2 linked regions of the Notamacropus eugenii genome follow. The protein of the gene in region 2 interacts with the protein of the main gene of each other region in a biochemical or structural test. Links are inferred from orthologs where the notes say so. Each region holds a gene or a part of one and is shown on either strand. Other genes may lie near its edges.

The links.
Region 1: of the proteins of ZAP70 (region 2) and LAT, one has a biochemical effect on the other in vitro, tested with the Homo sapiens proteins (2 studies listed by BioGRID). The link is inferred for Notamacropus eugenii from reciprocal best matches to the Homo sapiens genes ZAP70 and LAT.

The regions. Positions count from the first base shown.
Region 1 is NC_092872.1:46,478,089-46,488,917, forward strand, and holds the start of LAT (linker for activation of T-cells family member 1), read right to left. Parts: upstream 4,989-10,829; 5' UTR 4,914-4,988; coding exon 4,742-4,913; intron 4,541-4,741; coding exon 4,486-4,540; intron 4,301-4,485; coding exon 4,260-4,300; intron 916-4,259; coding exon 855-915; intron 618-854; coding exon 556-617; intron 446-555; coding exon 401-445; intron 256-400; coding exon 207-255; intron 123-206; coding exon 22-122; intron 1-21. Other genes in the region: SPNS1 (protein spinster homolog 1), read right to left, coding at 6,754-6,848, 7,122-7,293, 8,005-8,103, 8,524-8,589, 8,865-9,054, 9,853-10,008, 10,410-10,555. UniProt on the Homo sapiens protein: Required for TCR (T-cell antigen receptor)- and pre-TCR-mediated signaling, both in mature T-cells and during their development.
Region 2 is NC_092875.1:51,904,657-51,915,572, reverse strand, and holds the start of ZAP70 (tyrosine-protein kinase ZAP-70), read left to right. Parts: upstream 1-6,479; 5' UTR 6,480-6,727; intron 6,728-7,830; 5' UTR 7,831-7,907; intron 7,908-10,487; exon of another isoform or gene 10,488-10,590; intron 10,591-10,916. UniProt on the Homo sapiens protein: Tyrosine kinase that plays an essential role in regulation of the adaptive immune response. Regulates motility, adhesion and cytokine expression of mature T-cells, as well as thymocyte development.

The sequences.
Region 1 (10,829 bases), on a different chromosome or scaffold from region 2:
TGAAAATCTCTCCCAACTTACAGGGGGATGGACTATCTCTAAGGCCAGAACTTTCCAGGTTAGGTGCTGAGTTGGACAAAGGTGCAGAACCAGCGTTCGGGCAGTCATCCGGTAGAACCACGCTGCCAAAGGCAAACAGGACAGTGTGACCCCCAAGCCTCTCTTTTCTCAAAGACCATCTCTTTGAGGCCAACCCTACTACTCACAGATAGCCTTCATTGTGGTAATCCTCATCTTCATCAGCATCCTCACATTCTAGTTCCAGGGAAAACACAGGTATCTGAGTAGATGGTCTGGGGAGGCTCGATCCCCCTCCCCCACTCAGCCCATTCCTTCCTCCCTTCCTCCCATGCCCAAAGTCCCAGCCTAACCACCCCCTCTCCCCCCCACCACACACTACCAGGGGTGACTGATATACCCTCATTCTCGTAACTGGGCTCACTGCCTGGGAAGGAAAGGGAGAGTCACCATCAGTTCAAAAACCCAGCCTGAGCCAGGATCACCCACTTCAGGCTATAGAACCACCCTTCATAACTAGCTCATTGTCCAACTCACGGGTGTCTGGATCTCGTCGAGAAGTAATCTCACGTGACAACACTGGATGTCGTGGAGAATTCCTAAAGGGTTAAAAATTAGGGGTCACCCCTTGAAGAATGGAGGGATCTTTGAGAGGCCAAAGGAGTGGGAGGAGTAGTGATGCCTTGGCTCAGGGGAGACAGGAAGGTAGGAAGACAGAAGACTGAGGGCGATGATTTAGACAGTCCAGGATTCAAAGAAGGCCAGACAGTAAGAAGGCAGAGACCCCAGACTTCAGGTTAGACTGGGGTGACTGGGAAAAAAGGGTAGATACTTACGGGATAGGGAGCAGCACCTCTGGCTGGCTGGGTATTGTAGATGGAAACGTAACATTAGTGTCTGTGGGGTAAAGATTAGGGGTACATGGCATCAGAGGACCTGGGGTAGGGGGAAGGAATCAGGACAGGGCTGAGAGCACCAAGGAGAGGCAGAGGACCCTCAATGTGGCCCTCAGTGCCTAAAAGGACATTTTCTTCAAGAAATTCAAGATCCAAGGGGACTGGGGACTGAGGGGTCTCTTAGACAAGTTCATTATTCATTCAACAAACATTAATGAAGTGCTCACTACATCCAGAACATACAGAACACTGGGCTAAAAGCACCATGAACAAAATTTAGCAGACATGGCCCATAGCCCTCTCATGGAACCTAAAACCCAGTAAGGGAGAAGACACAAGAACAGATGGCTAGCATTCACAATATTACATGAGAAATGTATCAGAGAGTTGACAAAACAACGGGATAGGAGGTCAGAGGGAGAAAGTTATTGACTGGGGGAGGGGGGAGCTTCCCAGATACGGGGGTGGGGGCTTAAAAAAAAGATGGCAGGAATTCGGTACGTGAAGAGAGGAAAGGAGGACATTTCAGGGATAGGACACATAAGGGGAGGTTCTATTGCTTCTTCCTTTTAGAAAAAATATAATTTTTAATATTTTAATTTTTACTTATTTTATTATTTATCTGATGTTATTTTTAATATATTTTTAAAATATTATTACATGCAATTGTTTCTGAAAGCCCTTCACATCTATCTACAGTGCAGGATCACAGAATTTAAATCTGTAAGAGAAATTTCAGAGTTCAAGTTTGGCTTAATTACCTCACTTTACAGAGAAGGGCCTGTCCAAGGTCAGCTAATAGGTAACAGGGTGAGCTCTCAAAGCCCATCCTTCCTACAGATATTTCCACTTAAGTCTACTGTGATCATTTAGTAGTTTTTGCCAAATTCCTCCTTGGGAGAGGTGAAATTCTCCAGCTCTCCTGGCCTTAGTGAGGGAAATATCCTCCCCCCCCCCCCCCCCCCCCCCCGCCCCAACCTATACAATGGAAATTCAATAGGACACAACACGGCTAAAGTTAATTTTTAAAATACCAGGTTGAACAAATATGGCAAAAAATACCGTCAGCAAGAGCAAAAAGCACGTGTAGAGTTGTAAAAGTTATTAACCTGTCATCTCCCAAATTTCCTAATCCTGTCTGATTTGTGGGAGCCCTATTTCTCTACATCTCCTTATTCCTTTTCCCAAACTAATAAAGGAGGAGGTGCAGGCCACATGTGGGGGTAGTATGGCATGAGTCACTAGAAAGTAATGGCTTCCTGGGGACGTGACTCCCTTCAAGACTCAACTCACGTACCTTCTACAAGAAGCCCTTCCTCACCCCTCTCAGGCATTAGTACTCACCTCTCCTTAAATTACTTGGCATTCATTCATCTGTGAACATGTAATTCCCACCACCATGTGCCCAGGAGAATGTGAACTCCTTGTAAGCAAGAACTATCTTTTTTGTCTTTATACGTCTAACACAGAGGCCTGCCACAGAGTTGGTGTGTGTCCTTTGATCTCGAAAAAGACCATGATATCAGGGAAGTGATGCCATGACCTGTTAGAGAACTGGATTTAAGTGAGGGAGGGCTGTACAGTTACCAGCCTCACTTTGTCCTCCTGAGTCACCTAGATTCAGTAGTCGGATATAGATCAGGACGACTGGAGACGGCCCTGGATGCAGCGGGAGACCCTGGCCTTTTTAAGTTCAGGTCTTTCCAAATTCTCACTTTGACTGAGGTGACACCCATTCAACAAGTAAGGCAGGGTAAGAAATGAGCCAAGTAATGAAAGAAAAATCAGGGCTCCTGACCAGAAGAGAAACAATTAATATTTACATTCACTCTGAGCCATCAGGGCTTCAATAGTGACCACTAAGTGGGGCTTGGGCTGGGATCTATTGTTGGCCAATCAATGACAGCCAAAGTGAATTGGGTTTAAGGCATGGTCTTTGAGAAAAAAATCTAGCTCATAAACCACAAAATATCTTGCTACGTTTCAGCCCTAAAAATTTCTACTTTTTGGGTAAAGTACCATAAGATTATGATACCTTATGTGGGCAGAGAGAGAGGAAGGAGAAAAGAGAAGGAGGGAGAGAGGGAGGGAGGGAGGGAGGGAAGGAAGGAAGGAAGGAAGGAAGGAAGGAAGGAAGGAAGGAAGGAAGGAAGGAAGGAAGGAAGGAAGGAAGGAGGGAGGGAGGGAGGGAGGAAGGAAGGGAGAGGAGGGAGGGGGGAAGGAGAGGAGGGAGGGGGGAGGGAGGAAAGAAGGGAAGAAGGAAGAGCTGCATTGCCCAACTGGAACTAGCCAGTTGAGTTCGGGCAGATCAGATTATTCACAGGTTATCTGTCCTTCTTTCTCAAAGAGGACCACGACATCAAGAAGGTGATGACATGACTTGCAAGTGAACTGGATTTAAGTGAAAGAGGGCTGTGCGAAGTCACCAACCTCACTTTCTCCTCCAGAGTCATCTGGGTCCAGGGGCAAGATATAGATCAGGAGGCCTAGAGATCCTGCCACATTTGATTAAATGTAGGCATTTGATTAAATGCTTATGGAACTGCACTAAGTGGTTTGTGATCGGGTAATTCAATTCCATGAACTACTTCATTAAGCAGTCCCCTCTGTGCCTGCACAGCTTGGGATGGGAAGAAACACAAAGAGGAGAAACAGTCCTTGTCCTCTTGGAGCTATCAGGAGGCTGAACATCTCAGTGTCTAAAGAGTCTAGTCTTAATGAGTCTCAAAGCAAAGGTTCTTAACATGTGGTCTGTGGATACACTTCAGGGGCTCCACAAACTGGGATGGAAAAAGTTACATCTTTATCTTCACTAATTCTAACTGAAATTGAGCATTTCTTTAGAACACACTATTATTCTGAGAAGGGGTCCACAGGTTCCAACAGAGGGGACATGAGGCCATAGCACAAAAAAAGTAAAAAACCCCTGCCTTAAAGGGTCACTTTGCATTGGAGCTGGGCTTACAGAAGGGACAAAGAACTGGGCTTAGCTCTATGACCTCAAGCAATTTATCCCCTTCCTCCGGGGTCCCATCTTCCTGTCCCCCAAACTTGTGCCTCAGTTTGATCTTCTGTAAAATGAAGTCAGACTGGATAAATCTCTGAAACATCCTCCAGCTCTAAATTCAAGGATGCTGTGGGTCAAAGGTTGTGGTAGACATTTCAAGGGCAGGAGACTGGGAACAATGCAGACACATAACAGAAGCCATACCTTTCAAATTCTCCCTTTCTGACGCACAGACACATACCCACTCACACAGTGACTCTCCCCCAAGACTTCATTCCCTTATTTCTCAAAGCAGTCCCAGGGAAATATAGTGTACTGAGACCTCCTGCCATACTCACAGGGGCGTTTGAGGATGACTAATCCAGTGACTGGCGGATCTCTAGTGGAAAGAAGGAAGGCATGGGCTGGGGGTTGTAGAAGACAAGGCCTTGTACTTCCACACCCACCTCCAGCCACTGCCCCAATGTTTTCTCACCAAACAGCCCCTCCTCAGCTAGCTCCCCTCCTTCCAACACTGGTCCATCATAGCCACCATTTGGGAATGAGGAATAGTCAGACACTCACCTACCACTTGTGGGGACCTCCAAGTTGGGGCCTGTGGGGGAGGAGGCAGGTGAGGCTGAAGGGATGGGACAGGAACAGGAGTTACTTTAGGCTAGGGTAAGGAACAAGGGAGAGGTGACGCCGTAAGAGGGACAGTGGATGAATTTGTGAATATGGGAACATAGGATCCTTTGTGCAAGGTGAAGAGATAGTTTACAAGGTTGACTGGGTCTAGGGGCCTTCAAGTTAGAGATGAACTTAAAAGTATTTCACTTACCAGGGAGGTCCCGACAACACAAACACAGGGCAGTGACAAGCAGGGCTGGGAACAGTAGAATGAGGAGCCAGAGGAGGCTAGGACCCAGAGAGGTGGTCTCCATCTGGGGCACAGGCCAAGACCCACAGGTTAGGGCAACCTGGAAGGCCAGTCCAGAAAGCCTTCCAACCATACCCCACCCTCATCCATTCCCCTTCCCACTTGACTGGACAGAGCAAGAATTCTCTGCTCAGATCCCAAACTTTACTCCCAAGACAATGAGTAGAAATGAAGAGTTAAAAGATTTGGGGGAAGAGAACATCTAAGCCCTCAGTAGGTAACGGTGTCACAAAAGACAGGCCATAAGGGATGGAGGCCAGAAGAGACCAGTGGTTCTAGTCTCGAGGCCCAGGAAGCCAGGTATTCAGTGTGGTGTCAAAGGGAGGCAGGGGGCTCAGCCAGTTGTCTCTGTATCAGAGGGGCTCAGATTGGCATTGAGAGATAATACAGGCAAATAAGGACCAAGTAGGAGGCTCTGTCTACCTCTTAAGCTCTCATAGGGTTAGGGTGGATATGGAACACAAGCTTAAATTCACCATGGTCTCTGCTGAGCCTTACTAGCCTACTGGGAGCTGGACAGATTGGCTGGGGTGGGGAGGGTCCTGTTTGGGCACCATAAACCCACTCCACTCCCTCCACGTCCCCATACCTGGTCCCTGGTCCCGACGGTTCTGTTCCCCGATCTCTTCTCCTCCACTCAGCGCCTGCCCGCCCGCAGCAGGAAGCTGTGGTGAGCTCCGGGCGGGGACAGGAAGTTATAGTGGCTCCTTGCATGGCTGCGCCCGCCTCCCACCCCCATCCTTGTGCCCCCCAGGGGGAGGGGAGCACTCTAGATCTCCCCCATTGCCCCAGCCCAGTAATCCTACTTGGGATGGTCTCTCAGGGGCCTTGGTAACCAAGAATTCCCAGCTGTTCTCAAAGGGTCCTTCTGGATGATTAGGGTTACTTAGTACCATAGATTAAGTCAGGGCCATATGTTCCCCAAAGAGGGTCCTGTTCATGCAAGAAACGATACACTAATGGGGAGGGCAGAGAACCGAGGAAAAGAAGAGAATGGAACTTTTAACCTCTCTCAGACTCAATTTCCATCTTTATAAAGAGTGGGTTGGACAAAGGATCTCTGACATCCTTTCTATCATCCAGGGGGTAGAAGAACAGGAGAACTACTATATTATCATCCCCAGTGGCTGGACTGCCTGTCGGACAGCGAGAGGACAAGCTTCTAAAGTGTCTATTAGGAAAAGACAGTGGGTGAGTCAGTGTCACACTGGACCAGACGTCTGAATTCCAGACGGCTAGAGCAGGGAGGGCCCTCAAAGCACGTACTCTAGACTCCTGTGGCAGGAAGGGCTCCTAAAACAGACTACCCCACGTTCTAACGCTAACATACACAGAACCCTTAGCAAAGTCAGAATCAGCGTGCCACCACACAGGGCTCCTCCCCTTCTCTCGAGTCTTGGAGCTGGGAGGGAAAAGGACACAAGCTGACGCTAGGCTCTGGTTACAAAGTTTATTCAGATAAAAATAGCACCAAACCCTCCTGCCTGGATGGTGGGGGCACCTTGCCCCTGACCCCAGGAAGGCAGCTTGGAACCCACCTATAGCGTGACAGGCAGAGAGAAAAAAGATCTTTCCTCCCCAAATGGACCTGCAGAAAGTTGAGAGCACCTGCTCTGTGGCCTTCCAACCACCTGCCCCCTCCCTGATCAGGAAATCTGTCCCTGAACCCTATTGCTGTGCATATAATGCATCTATGTGTGCGTGTGTACAGGGAGAGAAAAAGGGACAAACCTCAGTGACTGCCCCATTCCTGTGGTTCCAGGTCAGAGGTCATGATACCACACCAGCCACAGAGCTGGCATAACAGTTCAGGGTGCTGGGGTTAAACTCAGAGTCTTGCCCACCACCCACCACCCACTTATCCCCCTGAGGGGAACCAGACACAAGGTGGCCTCAGGCCATAGTCCACCCAATCAGATGAGTACACTGGACACCGGGACCTTGGTAGAACGACCACGCTGAGGGACCACAATCCGATCGTCTGGAGAGGGCATGTCCCTCAGGAGGCCTGGGGAGAGAGAAGAAGTGATGAGACCAGGGGAAGATGAACATCTCAGAGAGAAGCACAGGGCAAGAGATGGAGATAGGCCTACAGGGAGGGGACACAGGCACCCCAGTGGAAGGGAGGACTGGGAAGGTACAAATGGGCAGAAAGACAAGGAGGGGTGAGGAGGTTAGGGGGAGAAAGAGGAAGGCGGATGATAGACGGAATCTGGGGAAGGGAGAGCTGGGGACATAGACAAGGAGCCCTGGGACAAGGCCGCCAGTGGGGAAAGCTCACCTTGCACATGGAGCTGGGCTCTCTTTCGATCACCTTCAATGTACATGGCAGTGCCCAGGAAAGCTGCACCCCCAAGAACCCCGACAAAGGCACAAAGCATGAGGGAGTACTGCAGGGCCCGGAACTGGGAGAGGAAGGAAGGGGGCCAGTTACGGCGGAGACGGTCAGATATCTAGAGGGGACAAAAGAGAGCAGACAGCGGTCATATCCTGGGTAGGTGAGGAGGGCTAAGGGGCTAAGATGACTTTGTGCTAAAGGGGGACGGAGGGAGTCAGAGACGGAGGAAGCAGGACAAAGGGGAACAGAGAAGGAGACAGTCAGATTATCAGCTTTGCTTGCACCTCACAATCCCATATCTGTTCAAATGCTGCCTTGAACTGTTCTCTAGTTTGATGCCCCTTGTTTCCCTACAAAAGCTCTAGACCCAGGACTACACTGTCTTCTCCCTCCAAATCAGAGAATCAGAATTGGAAAGGATCTCATTGATTACACAGAGAAGACCTGAAACATCCTGGATCACACGACTCTACCCACAAACTTTCCTAACAAGTGGTCATCTAGCCTTCACTTGAAGAAGCCCAAGGATGAGGAGTTCACCACCTTGTTACAAGGCAGCGCATTCCACTTTCTGAAAGCTTTCTCTTTCCCCAACAAAAATCTGCCTCCCCGAGTTAAGAACAAGTATCATCTCCCTTCCCCATGATGGCTCTTCCTCTCTCAGGACAGTGCTAAATACATCAGTGGTTGCTGAAATCAGACAAACTCTCCTGGCTGACAAAGACTCTCTCTCCTTCCCTACCCCATTCTCACTGCTTCCTAACCTGCCCTGGGCCAGGATGACCCAGCCAAGGCTAAAGCCTTCCAAAAGAAGATTCACACTCACCAGCCCAATGAGGTAGGGGCTTCCAGCATCCCCCAACAGATGGGACAGGACAATCTGAAAGGCCTCTGCTGTTGACCGGCGTGTCGGAATAACCACATACTAGGTAGGGAATTGAGACCCAAAGTTAGATTCCCCAAGGAGTAAAGGGAGCTGAGAAAGCCAGAAGAGAGAGGGCTAAGCTTCGAATTCTATCAACACTTTCTGAATTAAGTTATTCAGCCCAAACTACATGGAGGGAGACAGAAGAGAACGGCTACCTTCCTTATATGATAAGTGAAATTCCTAACCCCCTGGAAGTTTCAAGTTCTGTCCCAAAAGTGGAGACGGCCTCCACTGGGGCACCCACACTCAGGTAGCAACCAATAGTCCACAAGTGAGAGCAAGATGGAATCATGGATCAGTTTCTTATGACAAAACAAAGCCACTGACCCAGGGGAACAAAAGCCTTATCAAGCTCTCACTAGCCAAGGTGCTAATCACTAGGACCTGTGCGAGGTCAGAGACGGCCCACCCTCTCACCAGCAAAATGTCTGCTACAATGGCCCAGTTCATGGACAGCAGAATCTCTCCAATGAAGATGAAAACCTGAAGAGAGAAAATGGACATCAGGGAGTAACCCTGGAAAGATCAGCAGCTTTCTGCCCTTCCCTCTACTTTTTCTTGAGCCATGTTGGGGAGCTGTAGGATTGAAGCTGGGGACCACGAGTTTTGTTTCCCCCCCAACCCTTCCACCTCCACCTACTCTCACCCACCTGCCCGCCCACTCAAGCTCAAGGCTGCTACTGGGAGAGCTGTGCCTGTGCTCTGTATGTGGGGGGCTGGTTAGCATCTGCAAATGGGGAAAAATTGAGGACACTCACATAGGTAACTACAATGCTGTCCTGGGCACAAGCCAGGGCCAGAAACAGAAAAGGGGCAGATCCCAACAATCCAGCTGCACAAACCAAAGGGTCAGCCCTGGGGTTGGTGCGGCGAAGACGGCGGCTGATCTCTACACCAGAGGCCACACCCAGAATCCCAGTCACACAGGTGATCAGTCCAAAGATGAGACTGGGAAGGAGAAAAAAAGAAGACTGAGGGAAGCAACGGGCCCAAGTCTGCCATGTTTGCGTGAAAAGTCTGTGTTTTCCAAAATTCATTGTCCTTCTCTAGCAGAATTGGGCCTAAAAGCTGAGATGCTGCTGACACCAGGTATGAGCAAGAGCTCCTGCCCTGGCTGGTACCAGCTTCTGGAAACTGTGGCTCCTCCCTGAACCCAGCCCATGGGGACCCTGGTTTTTGGCTCCAGGACTTTTATCTTTCACTAGTAAATGTCATTTCCATAGGGCTTTCGAGGCTGACCCTGTGAAATGGGCAGTTCATCCTCATTCTATGGAGGAGGACACTCAGGCTAAAAGAAGTGACTGGCCAAAGGTCACATGGAAAACATTTGAAAAGACCTGAACTCAGCTGTTCCAAATTCATGTTTCCTTCCACTCTCTCATACAGTCTCCTGCTTTCTAAACCTCTGATTTTCTCAAAACCCCAACTGGATTTCTCAATGAGTTTCTTGAACCTTCCTGGTCCCAGAGACTACCTGGCTCCCCAAGCTCAAAACCCTGCAACAGCTTGTCGCTAATGTCTCCCTTCTTTGGCCACTGTGAGCCTGGATCCCTGAATCTGACATCTGCTCCTTCTTGTCCCGTTTTACCTAGCTACCATATAGATATCAGCCCACAAAATAAGAGTTTTTAGAGGGGAAGGAAGAAGGGCCATTTATTCTGCCAAGTTGTTGACTCACTGAGGAAAAACATAAACCCAGAGCCCCTTTCCATATCCCCTCCCCACTCTGAGAAGCATTCCCAGTACCTGTCTGAAGAGGAGCAGGAATCTCCAGGGAGGCAAGGTGGGGTCTCTCCTAAGACTACTCGAGCACGGAGTAGGAATGCTGGTGCCCACAGTGCCAGGGACCCCGTGACAAAGGCCACAGCCGTGAATCCCAAGGAAGAGAACACAAAACTGGGACTGTAGCAGAAGAGAGAAGGTGAGAGTTCAAAACAATCATCTCCTATCTCTCAACAACACTTAGGGCAAGGGCAAAAGTTAATTTAGGGGAGTGAGAGAGAACAAAAGGATGGTAAAAGTTGACAGGCAACCATTTGGTATGAGCAGCATTTACCCTTATTAGGCAAGGAGACAGAAGATGAAGTGGTCCATTTCTCCTCCAATACCTGGACTGTAATTTAGCTGTCCAGCCACTAGGTGGAGATGGGTACTAAGGTTTCATGGCTCACGCTTCCCACAGAGGAGAACCAAAGCGTACACAGGATGAACTCTCACTTCATTTTACTGGAAGTGTGTAAGATTCTCCTTAAAGGGCTAAAGGGGTATGAGTGAAGGCTTGTACAAAAGTCCCTGGGACTCACTTCCGAGTCAGAGCCCGCAGATCAGCCCACCAGGAGGTAGGGTTCAAGGGAGGGGTGTCTGAATGGCGTTCCACAGCTCCGCGTGGAGGTTCCCTCACCACCAGAAACAACAGCAACACTGCAATCATCCCAAGGCCTGGCGTGACCTAAGGAGAGACAACAGTCCCCCCGACGTCAGGACACACACAGAGATCACCCATGCACACATGTGCACCCGCACACAGACCGTACATGCACAAACCACATATGCACACATGTGCATGCACACAGACCACACGCACACACCACATACACAGCGACCACATATGTACACACATGTGCACACGCATGCACATGCAAGACTGCACATGCACGCACACACCACACATGCATGTACACACACACACACATACCCACTGGTGAGAAAAACTTTGGAAAAGG
Region 2 (10,916 bases):
GAAAGATAATGAGTTTTGGACATATTGAGTTTAAGATGTCTATTGAGCACCTAATTTGAGATATTTGAGAGGCATTTGGAGATGTGAGACTGGAGATCAGTAGAGAAGTTGGAGCAGGATGGGTAGATTTGAGAATCATGAACATAAAGGTGGTCATTAAATCCATGGGAGATTATGAGCTCACCAAAGGAAATAGTATAGGGGGAGTAGAGAGCAGAACCCTGAGGAACACCAATAATATCACAATAGTGAGACACAAATAATGATCTGGAGGAGAATCTAGCAAAGGAGACAGAGAATGAGTGGGCAGATAGATGTGAGCAAAACTGGGAATGATTCATATTCCAAAAATCTAGAGAAAAGAGAGTATTAACAGAGTCATTAACAAAAGTATTAACAGAGAGAGGGATCAATAGTCAGAAATTGCAGAGAGGTCCTTCAATCAATACTCAAAGAGCTTTCACTGTCCTGCCCTTCTGGATTCTGTTTAGATGGTCAATGTCCTTAAAACATGGTGTCTGCAATCAAAACCTTTGCCTTCTGACTGCTGACGCCCTGCCCTACCGTGACCAGCACTATGTTTCCTTTTCCATTCTATGCCCGTGCTCCTAAAAGATGGAGGAAGTCATGTAGTTGTGCTAAATGGATCCACCATAAATCCATGTGACCAGATTTCAACTGGGTGCTCATCATCGTAAAAGTAATCCTTTTATTCTTTCATATTTGACTTCTTATCACATACCTTCCCCCAACCCTCCGGTGTCTATTGCAAAATTTCTCTTCTTTCTCCAAGCCTCATAGCTCTCCCTCTCAGTAGAGTGGCACATCTCTTATTTTACTGAGAAAGTCAAATATTCATCATGTGCTGCCTCTTTCCCCCTACTCCATACCTCAAAACCATTCTATGTGATCCTTTATTTTCTTCTCCTTTGTCTTAGTCTCTGAGGAAGAGATGGTCAAAACCAACCCTTGTCTTTATACCTTGATCCTACACCTCAGCTGGGAGACCTTCACTTCAAACATCCCCTTTCCCCATCAATTGCTTCCTTCTATGTGCCTGCAAATGCATTCAGTTCTCTTCACTGCACTTGACCCTGCCCTGTCCTCAAGCTAAAGTCCTGTATCTTTCATTTTTTCACTGACAAACACCTGGAAAACTGCTTATACTTGTTGCATCTATTTCTGTACCTCCCACTCATTTTTCAACCCTTTGTAATCTGGATTCCAAGTCTTCCCATTCACTGGAACCACTCTCTCCAAGATTACTCATAATCTCTTAACTGCTAAATCCAATGATGTTTCTTCTCAGGACTTTCCAGGCTGCCATTACCATTGGAAAACTCCTTAACCCTGCCTTCTCTCTCATTCTCACTCAGTTTGGCCTCAACACTCACTTCCTTTATTTCCTTTCTTCTACTCTGCCCCTGTATTTCATGTCCTCTGGGACCTTGTTTTATTGTGTCTTTTTAGAAAAAGCATTTATTGATGTTGTGTGTGTGTGTGTGTGTGTGTGTGTGTGTGTGTGATTTACCACCTCATTTCCCCGGATAGAGTTCTTTCTTGTAGCAAAGAAAAAACATCAAGATAAAATATCCTATGTAGAAATAGTTTTTTCTGACAATATATACAAGAACCTAGTAGTCCCCCTATCTCTCTGTCATGAGTGAGGGAATTTGTATCATTATCTCTTCAGCAGGACCTTCTTGAGATTTCTATTACTCAGAGATTAACTTTTTAAAATTGATCTTTTAATTTATTTCACTATAATTATGTAGTTACCTTGATTCTGTTTAACATTCTTCCCCTACATCCTTCATCAAAGACTCCCTTGCAGCCTTGATCGCTTCCTCTTACTGTTGAACCGTTCCTCTGCTCAAACATCTTCAGTGGCTCCAGAATTCAAGTTTTTCAACCTGGCATTTAAAGCCCTCCTCAATCTTACTGTAATCTACCTTCCCATTCTTATTTCCCATTTCTTTCTTGTGCACACTCTACATTCCAGTCAAACTGGACCATTAAGCTGTACCCCAAACCCAACATTCCATCTCTATGACTTGACACAGGCATAGAATGCCTGGAATGCACTCCCCCTTCATCTCCATCTCTTTCAAGGCTTGCTGCAGGTGCTGATTCCTGTGGGAAGCCTTCTGTGCTCTTCCAAATAGCTATTGCTTTCTCCTTCCTCAAACTTGTATGTATTTCTGCATATGTTACGTACTTCCACTCCACCCCCCAGTAGGATGTAAGCTCTTTGAAGACAGGGACTTTCACTTAGGTCCATGTTGATACTGTTACTCATTCTTCATTCTAGAAGAGGCTAGACTGCCCAAGAGAATCTTTTGGGCAACGTTTTTCCCCCCAAACCAGTGACTTCATCAGTGGGGAATCCCCAGGGTAGAAACTCAAAACTTCCTCCACCAGTGATGATTTGCAACTCATTTTTTAAAAATAAGTTTTTGTTATCTTTGGTTTAACATTATCTAAAATTCCCCCTGGAAAATTCTCCCTCTGGGAAGCTAGGTGGCACAGTGAATAAAGTGCCTGGCTTGGCATCAGGGAGACTCATCATCTTCCTGACTTTAAATCTAGCCTCAGATACTTACAAGCTATATGACCTAGTCAAGTCACTTAATCCTGTTTCCTTATCTGTAAAATGAACTGGAAAAGGAAAAGGCAAACCAGTGCAGTATCTTTGCCAAGAAAACCCCAAATGGGATCACAAAGAGTTGAATATGACTGAACAACAACAATAAAAATTCCCCCTTTGTCTCTCTCTTCTTCTTCCCAGAGCCATCTCATACAACAAATAATTTTTTTAAGAAATAGAATAGAAAAAAACTCATCATAACCAATCAATCAATCCATGAACAATATTTGAAAACATATGTAATGTTCCACAGCCATGGACCACTTGCCTCTGCAAAGGAATGGAGGAATGTGTCTTCTTGTGTATTTCTTTTGGGACTCTGCTTCCTTCCCTTTGCATCAGTTCATGTAAGTCTTTTCAGGCTTTCCTATACACACCATATTTATTTCTTCTTATTGCATAATCATCATCATCTTCTTTAGTTCAGTCATTTTTCAATTGAGTCTGAATCTTCATGACCCCATTTAGGGTTTTCTTGGCAAAGATACTGGATGGCTTGCCATTTTCTTCTCCAGCTCACTTTACAGATGAGGAAACTGAGGCAACCAGGGTTAAGTGACTTGCCCAGGATCATATAGCTAGTAGGTGTTTGAGGCCAGATTTGAACTCAGGAAGATGAATCTTCCTGACTCCAGGCCCAGCCGTCTATATCTACTGAGCCACCTAGCTGTCCATCCTCACCATCATCATCATCAATCGCAATCATGATAATAACAGCTCACATTTATGTAGTACCTACTATGTGCTAGGCACTTTACTAAGTGCTTTACAATTGTTATTTCGTTTGATTGTCACAACAGTCATGAGAGGTAGGACCTATTGGTAATCCAACTTTTCAGATGAGGAAGCCAAGGCAGACAGAGGTTAAGTGACTCACCCAGGATCATACAGCTAGTGTTTGATAACACCCAAGGTATCTCATCATATTTATGTACCACAATTTGTTTAGTCATTTCCCAAATGATAGTCATCTATTTTGTTTCCAGTTCTTTGCTCCCAAGAAAAGTGCTGCTAGAAATATTTTGGTGTATACAGGGATTCTCTTCTTATCAATGACTTTTTTGGGATATATGCCTAGTATTGGAATCTCAGGCTTATTTTTGTCATTTATTTAATTCCCAATTTCTTTCTAAACTGCTTATACAACTCGTATCTCTACCAAGAACACATGAATGTGCCTATTTTTCCACAAGCTTTCTGATCTTGACTGTTCCCGTCAAAGAGCTTAGCAGTTTGCTGGATGTGAGGTGAAACCTCAAAGTTAGAGTGTTGAGAGATTATGTGACTGGCCCAGGGTCACTCATATGGTCTGTATCATAGGATAATAGGACCATAGATTTAGAACTGGCAGGGGTCTTTGATTCCAATCTCTTCATTTTATAGGCAAGGAAACTGAGGCACAGAGGTTAAGTGACTTGTCTTCAGTCACACAGTTAGTATGTGCCAGAGATAGGGCTTCAACCCAGGTCAGCCTAACTCCAAGGATGCTCCTTGTCCTGAAAGCCTCTTATTTTGTACATTGTAAGAACTTAATAGATGTTTAATGAATCAAAACTGAATAGACTTTTAAATCATTTTTCTCCATGTACATGACATCTCCTTCCCTTAATCCTACCTCAGACCTTAAGCTCCTAGAAAGCACAGATTGTTTTATCTTTGTATTCTAGTATTCCACATAAACTACGTGCTTGGTACATGGCAGTTATTGAATAAATTGAATTGTTTAATAAAGAATTCAACTAATGAAATGAAATGGAGTGGTGGTATCAATGAGGAACTGGAGGAAGAAGATACCTTATTTATCTTGTAACAAACAAGGATGATCAGGGGAGCCCCCTGATCTGCACATCTTAGGGTACTTCCCATGGGAGTGGGCAGTTATACTTTGAGTCATTTGGGAATGGGACAAAGCCAGCAAAGAACTGAATTGGAGACATTAGGTGTATCTAGGTAGGTGGTGGATTCTTGGGTTCAATTCCTGAGTTCCTGCCTCAAACACTTACTAGCTATGCAACCCTGGACAAGTCACTTTACCCTATTTGCCTCAGTTTCCTCATCTGTAAAATGAGCTGGAGAAGGAAATGACAAACCACTCTAGTATCTTTGTCAAAAAAATCCCAAATGGGGTCATGAAGATTTGAACACAACTGAAAAATGTTTGAACAACCACAATATTAGGAGGATCAAAGGAAGATGAAGCTTGTTCATACTGGGCAATTAGAATCTGAGGAATCTGGAGTATCCCAAAGGATGGGATGGGCTTAGAGTTGGGACAAGGTAAGAGGGGAGCCCCATGCTGCCTACAAAGTACTGTGGATGCACCAAAGAGATTGTGGGACTTGGAATCCTGGGACATGAATTCAAATCTGTCTTCTGTTTATTGTCACAAGCATTGGGAGCCTCAGTTTCTCTAAAAAATAGGGTGGTTGGAGTAGATGATTCCCAAGGCCACTTTTAGGTCAACATCTTTGATCCTGTTAGAAAACAGGTCCTTAAATGTTTTTGTGCCCTGGACCCCTTGGCAGTCAACCTGGTGAAGGGTATGGGCCTCTTCTCAGAATAAGGTTTTCAAATAATTTAAGGAAATGCTAAATTTCAGTTAGTGGGTGGTTAAAATAAACTGTGTCATTTATAAAAAAAAACAAATTTAAAGATCCCTTGAAATCTATCCAGGACTGTAAGTTAAGAACACTTCTTTCACAGGGATTTAAGAAGACCCTTGGTCAGTAGCCATAGCAGAGAGAGCCCCCGGACCTGAGCCAGGCTCTCCAGGCCTTGCTCTGTAACCTTGGACAAGAGCTCCCTCCTTCTCTCTGACTTTAGTTTCCTCTTCTATAAAAAGGAAAGGTCAGGGATTAGACTGGAGGATCCCTAAAGTCCCTTTCAGCCCCAACATTCCATGGTTCCAGGACAAGTTTGGTCCCAGTGGTAAGGTCCTTCAGAACCTGGTCTCTAGTAAGTTTGGGGAAATTTCATCAATAATATTCTGCTCTAAAATGGGGCCTAGCTGGGGGCTGGTGATGGTGCACCAGCTGTGGATTTAAGCCCGTTGAAGTTTTGTAAAAGGTTTTCCCCAGCTAGGAGCCAACTGGCTGAAGGCAGTGTGGCCTTCAATGGATACAGATGTGCCTTCCTTGGAGGAAGGCTGGAATCTTTGGTGGCTAGTGGGCTTTAGTGCTGCTATGAGCTCTGGGTGCCCCCTTTCCTTTGGTTATTGATGTAACCATGGGTCGGGGGAGAGGACTTGGGACACAGGGAGGCTGAGTTCTCGCCCTACCTAAAGGAGGCAGTATGATATGATATAGTATAAATAACCCTGGTTCTAAGCAGGGATTTTTCACCTGGGCTCTGTGGATTTGACTTTGTAAAAATATTTTTCGAACTGTGCTTCAATACAATTGGTTTCCTTCTTTATCTTATGTATTTTATTCTATGTATTTAAGAATGTGACTCTGAGAAGGGTCCATGGGCTTTAGCAGACTGACTGCTGAAGGGAACCAGGACATGAGAAATGTTATGAAAGCTTATTCTAGAGTCGGAAGAGCTGACCCTCTGTGATGACCTTGGGTCAGTCACTTCCCCCTCTTCTGTTGTAAAAGATGGGGTCCCTTATAGCTTTAGATGTAGGATGCTAGGGACCATGTAATAAGAGACCGTCCCTGAGGCAACCTCTGGGTCTGAGGCCCAGGAACTCCTGCCTGCCCCCAGTTTGAAGATTTTCCTCCATACACAGCAGTTTGTGACTTTGACGTAACCTTCAAAGGCCTAGTTGCTCCCTCCACATCTGGGTGGGTGGTTTTCTCTTTCTGTCGTCTTTTCTTTCCTGTCTTCCTTATCACGGAAATAGGTCACATTTCAGAGAAACCAGTTGACAAACAGATTCGTTGACAGAGGGTGGTAGCTAGAGCCAGTGGTGGCTGGGCCTAGACCCTGTCCGCTAACTGCCTTCCCCACCCTGAGACCCTGGAACCCAGGGTAGCCTTTCCCTCCATGGAACTTGGCCCTCCAAGAGACTGAAGAAGACTGAGGGAGCCAAGAAAGCCTGGTTCCTTGGGCCTAGCGCCTCCTGAACCTCCACAGGTAAGCCTTTTCCTTATTTCTGATTCCTGGTTCTGGCTGCTGTCCTAGACTGAGAAGGATAGGGATGCTCTGGGAGTTAGGAGAGAGCTGGCCCATACTCACTAGAAGTCATAATGATGACTCCTTTTTCCCATAACTCAGGGATCATGCCTCAGCCTTGAGCCACTCAGCCTCATGGTCCCCAAGCAAGAAAGAGAAAGAAAAAAACATTGGGTGCTAACCAGTATTTTGTGGAAGGGAGGTTATCTTTCCCAAGGCCCAGAATTCCCCAGCCCAGGGTGTCAGAGTGGTGGACCAGCCATTCCTCTAGCTCTTTGTGTACTGTAAGCAGGGATGTCAGGAAATGGTCAGGGAGCAGTCAAACTAGGGGTTAGGGATTGGTGAATTTAAGGGATAGATTTAGGGATAGTCAAACTAGAGAACAAAGCCATCGATAGACTAGATATGGCAAAGGGACAAGCAAATGCTGGGTCACAGGAATGATAGATTGAGTATTTCAGGAATGGCCAAGCTAGGGGGTTGAGATCTGGAAGATGGTTAGCCTAGAAGTTCTTGGAATGGTCAGACTGAGGCCTTGGGAGAGAGACTGGGGATAAGCAGATGATCAGACCATGGAGTCAAAGGGATAACTGGACTGGAGATTGGGGCATATTCAAACTAGACAGTTTAAAGCATGGTCAAGCTGGGGTCATTTGGTGTGGTCACATTGGGAAGACAGAGAACAGTTAGACTGGGAGGAGGTCATGATAGGTCAAACTAAAGAGTCTAGGGGAGTCAGATGGACGGGTCAGAGTATTATTAGACCAGCAGTTCAAGAGATAGTCACACTGGGACTTCAAAAGTAAGTTAGACCCAGGAGTTTCGGATATGGTCAGACTAGGGAGTCAGGAGACAAACTGAATGCTCAGAGGAGGGAACTGAGGGTGGTCAGATTGGGTGAGTCAGGGGGATGATCAGATAGAAGAGGGAGGCTATGATTAAGCTGGAATTTGACCAGACAGTAGGACTGGGAGGAGTGTTGGGACATTTGGGACATCAAGGGTTGGGACATCAAGACAGAGGCCTGTATGAATTCGTTTCTCACTTTCCAACTCTGCATTTAGGACCATTTCTCCTTGTGGGAAGGAACTGGAAAGCCTCTCACCCTTTGTCAGTTCTGCTCCAGCCTAGACACCATCAAGTAAGTAATTTCCCTGTGCCAGGCTGAACCCTTTTAGGGGTGTTAAGGGTACAGACTGGGCCAGATAGTGGTGATAATGACGGTCCAGTGGTAATGACATTTATAACATCTCACATTAGTACTCAGGGGTGAGAATGATGGTGCTAGCACAACGGTGGGGAAACTGTGGCCTTGAGGCCACATGTGACCTTATAAGTCCTCAAGAGAGGCCCTTTGATTGAATCCAGACTTCAGAAAGTTTGGATTCAGTCAAAGGGCCGCACTTGAAGACCTAGAGGGCCACATGTGGCCTCGAGGCCGTAGGTTCCCCACCACTGTCAGCTAACAGTTCCCACTGGGGACCTGTAGTAATTCCAGATCTAGAAATTGAGGAAGGCCTTGCATACTGTTTTTATAGTCTCTTGCCTAGAGGGAGATGAGCCTGGACCAGAGAGAATCCCTCCTCACTCTACTCCTTTTCACATGGATGAAAGGGGCGCTTTTTCCTGTGTCCCTAGGTCTGTTCTTAGTCTTTGGAATGGGCCTTTGTATCCCTTAGCTTCCCCTCCTCCTTTTCTTCCTCTTTCCTCTCACAATAATAATAATCTAAAAGGTGGAAAAAGATTCATAGATGTTCTCAGAGCACATCATAAACAGGCTACAATGCTTAGAAATTCTTCTAGAACATATATTAGATTGTAAGTTCCTTGAAAGTTCCTTGCCTCTTTGTATACTCCCCTGCATTTAGCATAGTGCTTGGCACATAGTAGGTACTTAATTGATTGATATAGACAGATATCACTTCACAGAACAGTAAGTAGTAAAGGTAGACAATAAGGACACGTTGCTGTAATTATCAACTGTGGCCAATATTGGTTGGATGGAGTCTCTGAAAGGGCTAAAATCTAAAAGGAGAATCAAAGGGCCATCTATGGGTAACATCCATGTGAACTTATATTGACAAATAAGCCTTAAAGAAATGACCAAGCTGGACAGATTTGCTTGATGGAATGGAGGGGTTTATGGTAGTAATGTAGGACCAGGTCATTGCCCCCAGAAAGCACAGAAAAGTCAGACTTAGGTAGATGATAGATAGATAGAGAGATATGGATATAGAGACAGATTGATGGATGGATGGATAAATAGGGAGGAAAAGGGGGCAAAAAGGAGGGAAAGAGACAGACAGACAGACAGGTTGCTAGGTAGTTGGAACAAAAGTAGATATGCAATTACTGATGTGCCAGGTACTGTACTAAGTGCTGGTCATACAAATACAAACAAATAAGAGAGTTCCTGTCCTGCCTTCAAGGGAATCTCCTTGAAGGAGATATTTTAATGAGGGAAGAAAAGAGATATTTTAATGAGGAAAGAAAACACATAAAGAATAACTGGAAAAGGAAAAGGGTGGTGTGGGGATGGGAATGTCATGGTTGGGAACTGTTTGGACGCCGAGCTCAGGACAAGATGAGGGAAAAGCTCATTTATTATAGCCCAGATTTTCAGGGAGCAGATTATGTAAGGAAATAGTAGGAAATTCCCAACATTTCACTCTGGTTTGCAGGTTAATATCTATTGAATATCTGCAAAGAGACATGAACAGGTGGTCAGAATACTAGAAGCTTCCTATCCTTTGTATATCAATAATAAGCCTCTGTATTACAAATACGGATCCCAAAATATCCTTGAGAATTCAATGAATAAACTAGTAGAGATAGAAAATTGTTCTAAGAGAGCCTCTTTCTTTTGTTATGAATTGCTTGGTTCTTTCATGCTATGCCTTTGATTGATTCAAGGAGGTGTACAGGCCCTGTTCTTCAATTCTTAGTGTTGGATTCCATCTAAAACTATTTTTTACTTAGTTAAGGTAGGAGAGGTTAAAAAAAAAAGGTATGTGTGTGATTTTAACCCCATCTTTGGAAAGGGATAGATATCTCAGGATAAAAAGACAGAAATAGTGCACGCAAAATACAAAAATGTCCCTTTGTCATCAAGAAACTTCTAACTGATAAGACACCAGACACATCTCTCTCTCTCTCTCTCTTTTTCCATATATATATATATGTATATCACATATGTATCTGTATGTGTATAGAAATATGCCTGGTGTCACAAGTTAGAACACACATGTGTATGTGTACATAAACATATATGAATGCATGCGTTCATATGTGTATGTATACAGATACACACACATATATGTACAGGACAAGAAAAATCTCTTGTAGAAGGGTGTACTTGTGTTGAATCTTGAAGGAAAGTAGGATTTCAAGAAGCAGAGACAAGGAGGTAGAGCATTCCAGAAATGAGCCAGTGCAAAACTGCAGAGATAGGAAATGGAAGATAGTACGTAAAGAGTGTAAATAGGCCCATATGAGTGAATAAGAGTCAGGAGATGAGGATAACTTGGAGATTTTGAAACCAGGAACCTGAAAGGATTAGAGGGCCCTGTACAATAATTGGGGGCTTTGAAAGAAGGGTCAATATGGGGTAGATGGATTAAAGGTCACCGTGAAGAAGACGAAGAGGTTTAAGAGGAGTAAGATCTAGGAAGAGAGGGAATAAGAGAAACTTAGGCTTCTGACGAAATAACTTCAGCATTCTTTAAATATGGAATGCTTCACAATTTTGTGTGTTGTCTCTGAGAAGGAACCATGCTAATCTTTGTAAGTTCCAATTGTAGTACATGTGCTGCTGAAATCAGCACTATTTCAGCATTCTTGATCAAGGAAGTAGAACATTTGTGGGTGATTGGGAGATTATTGAAAGAGATGAGAACAAGTTAATAACAAATATAATAAGAGCTGGCACTTATATGGGACTTTTGTGGGGTGGTTCTTTGTAATTTATTTTTTTAAATTTTTTGTGTTTATTTTTAGTTTTCAATGGACACTTCCACAAGATTTTGAGTTACAAATTTTCTCCCCCATTTCTCCCCTCTGACCACCCCAAGACAGTGTGCATTCTGATTATCCCTTCCCCCAATCTGTCCTCCCTACTATCACACCTCTCCCTTCTCTTATCCCCATTCCC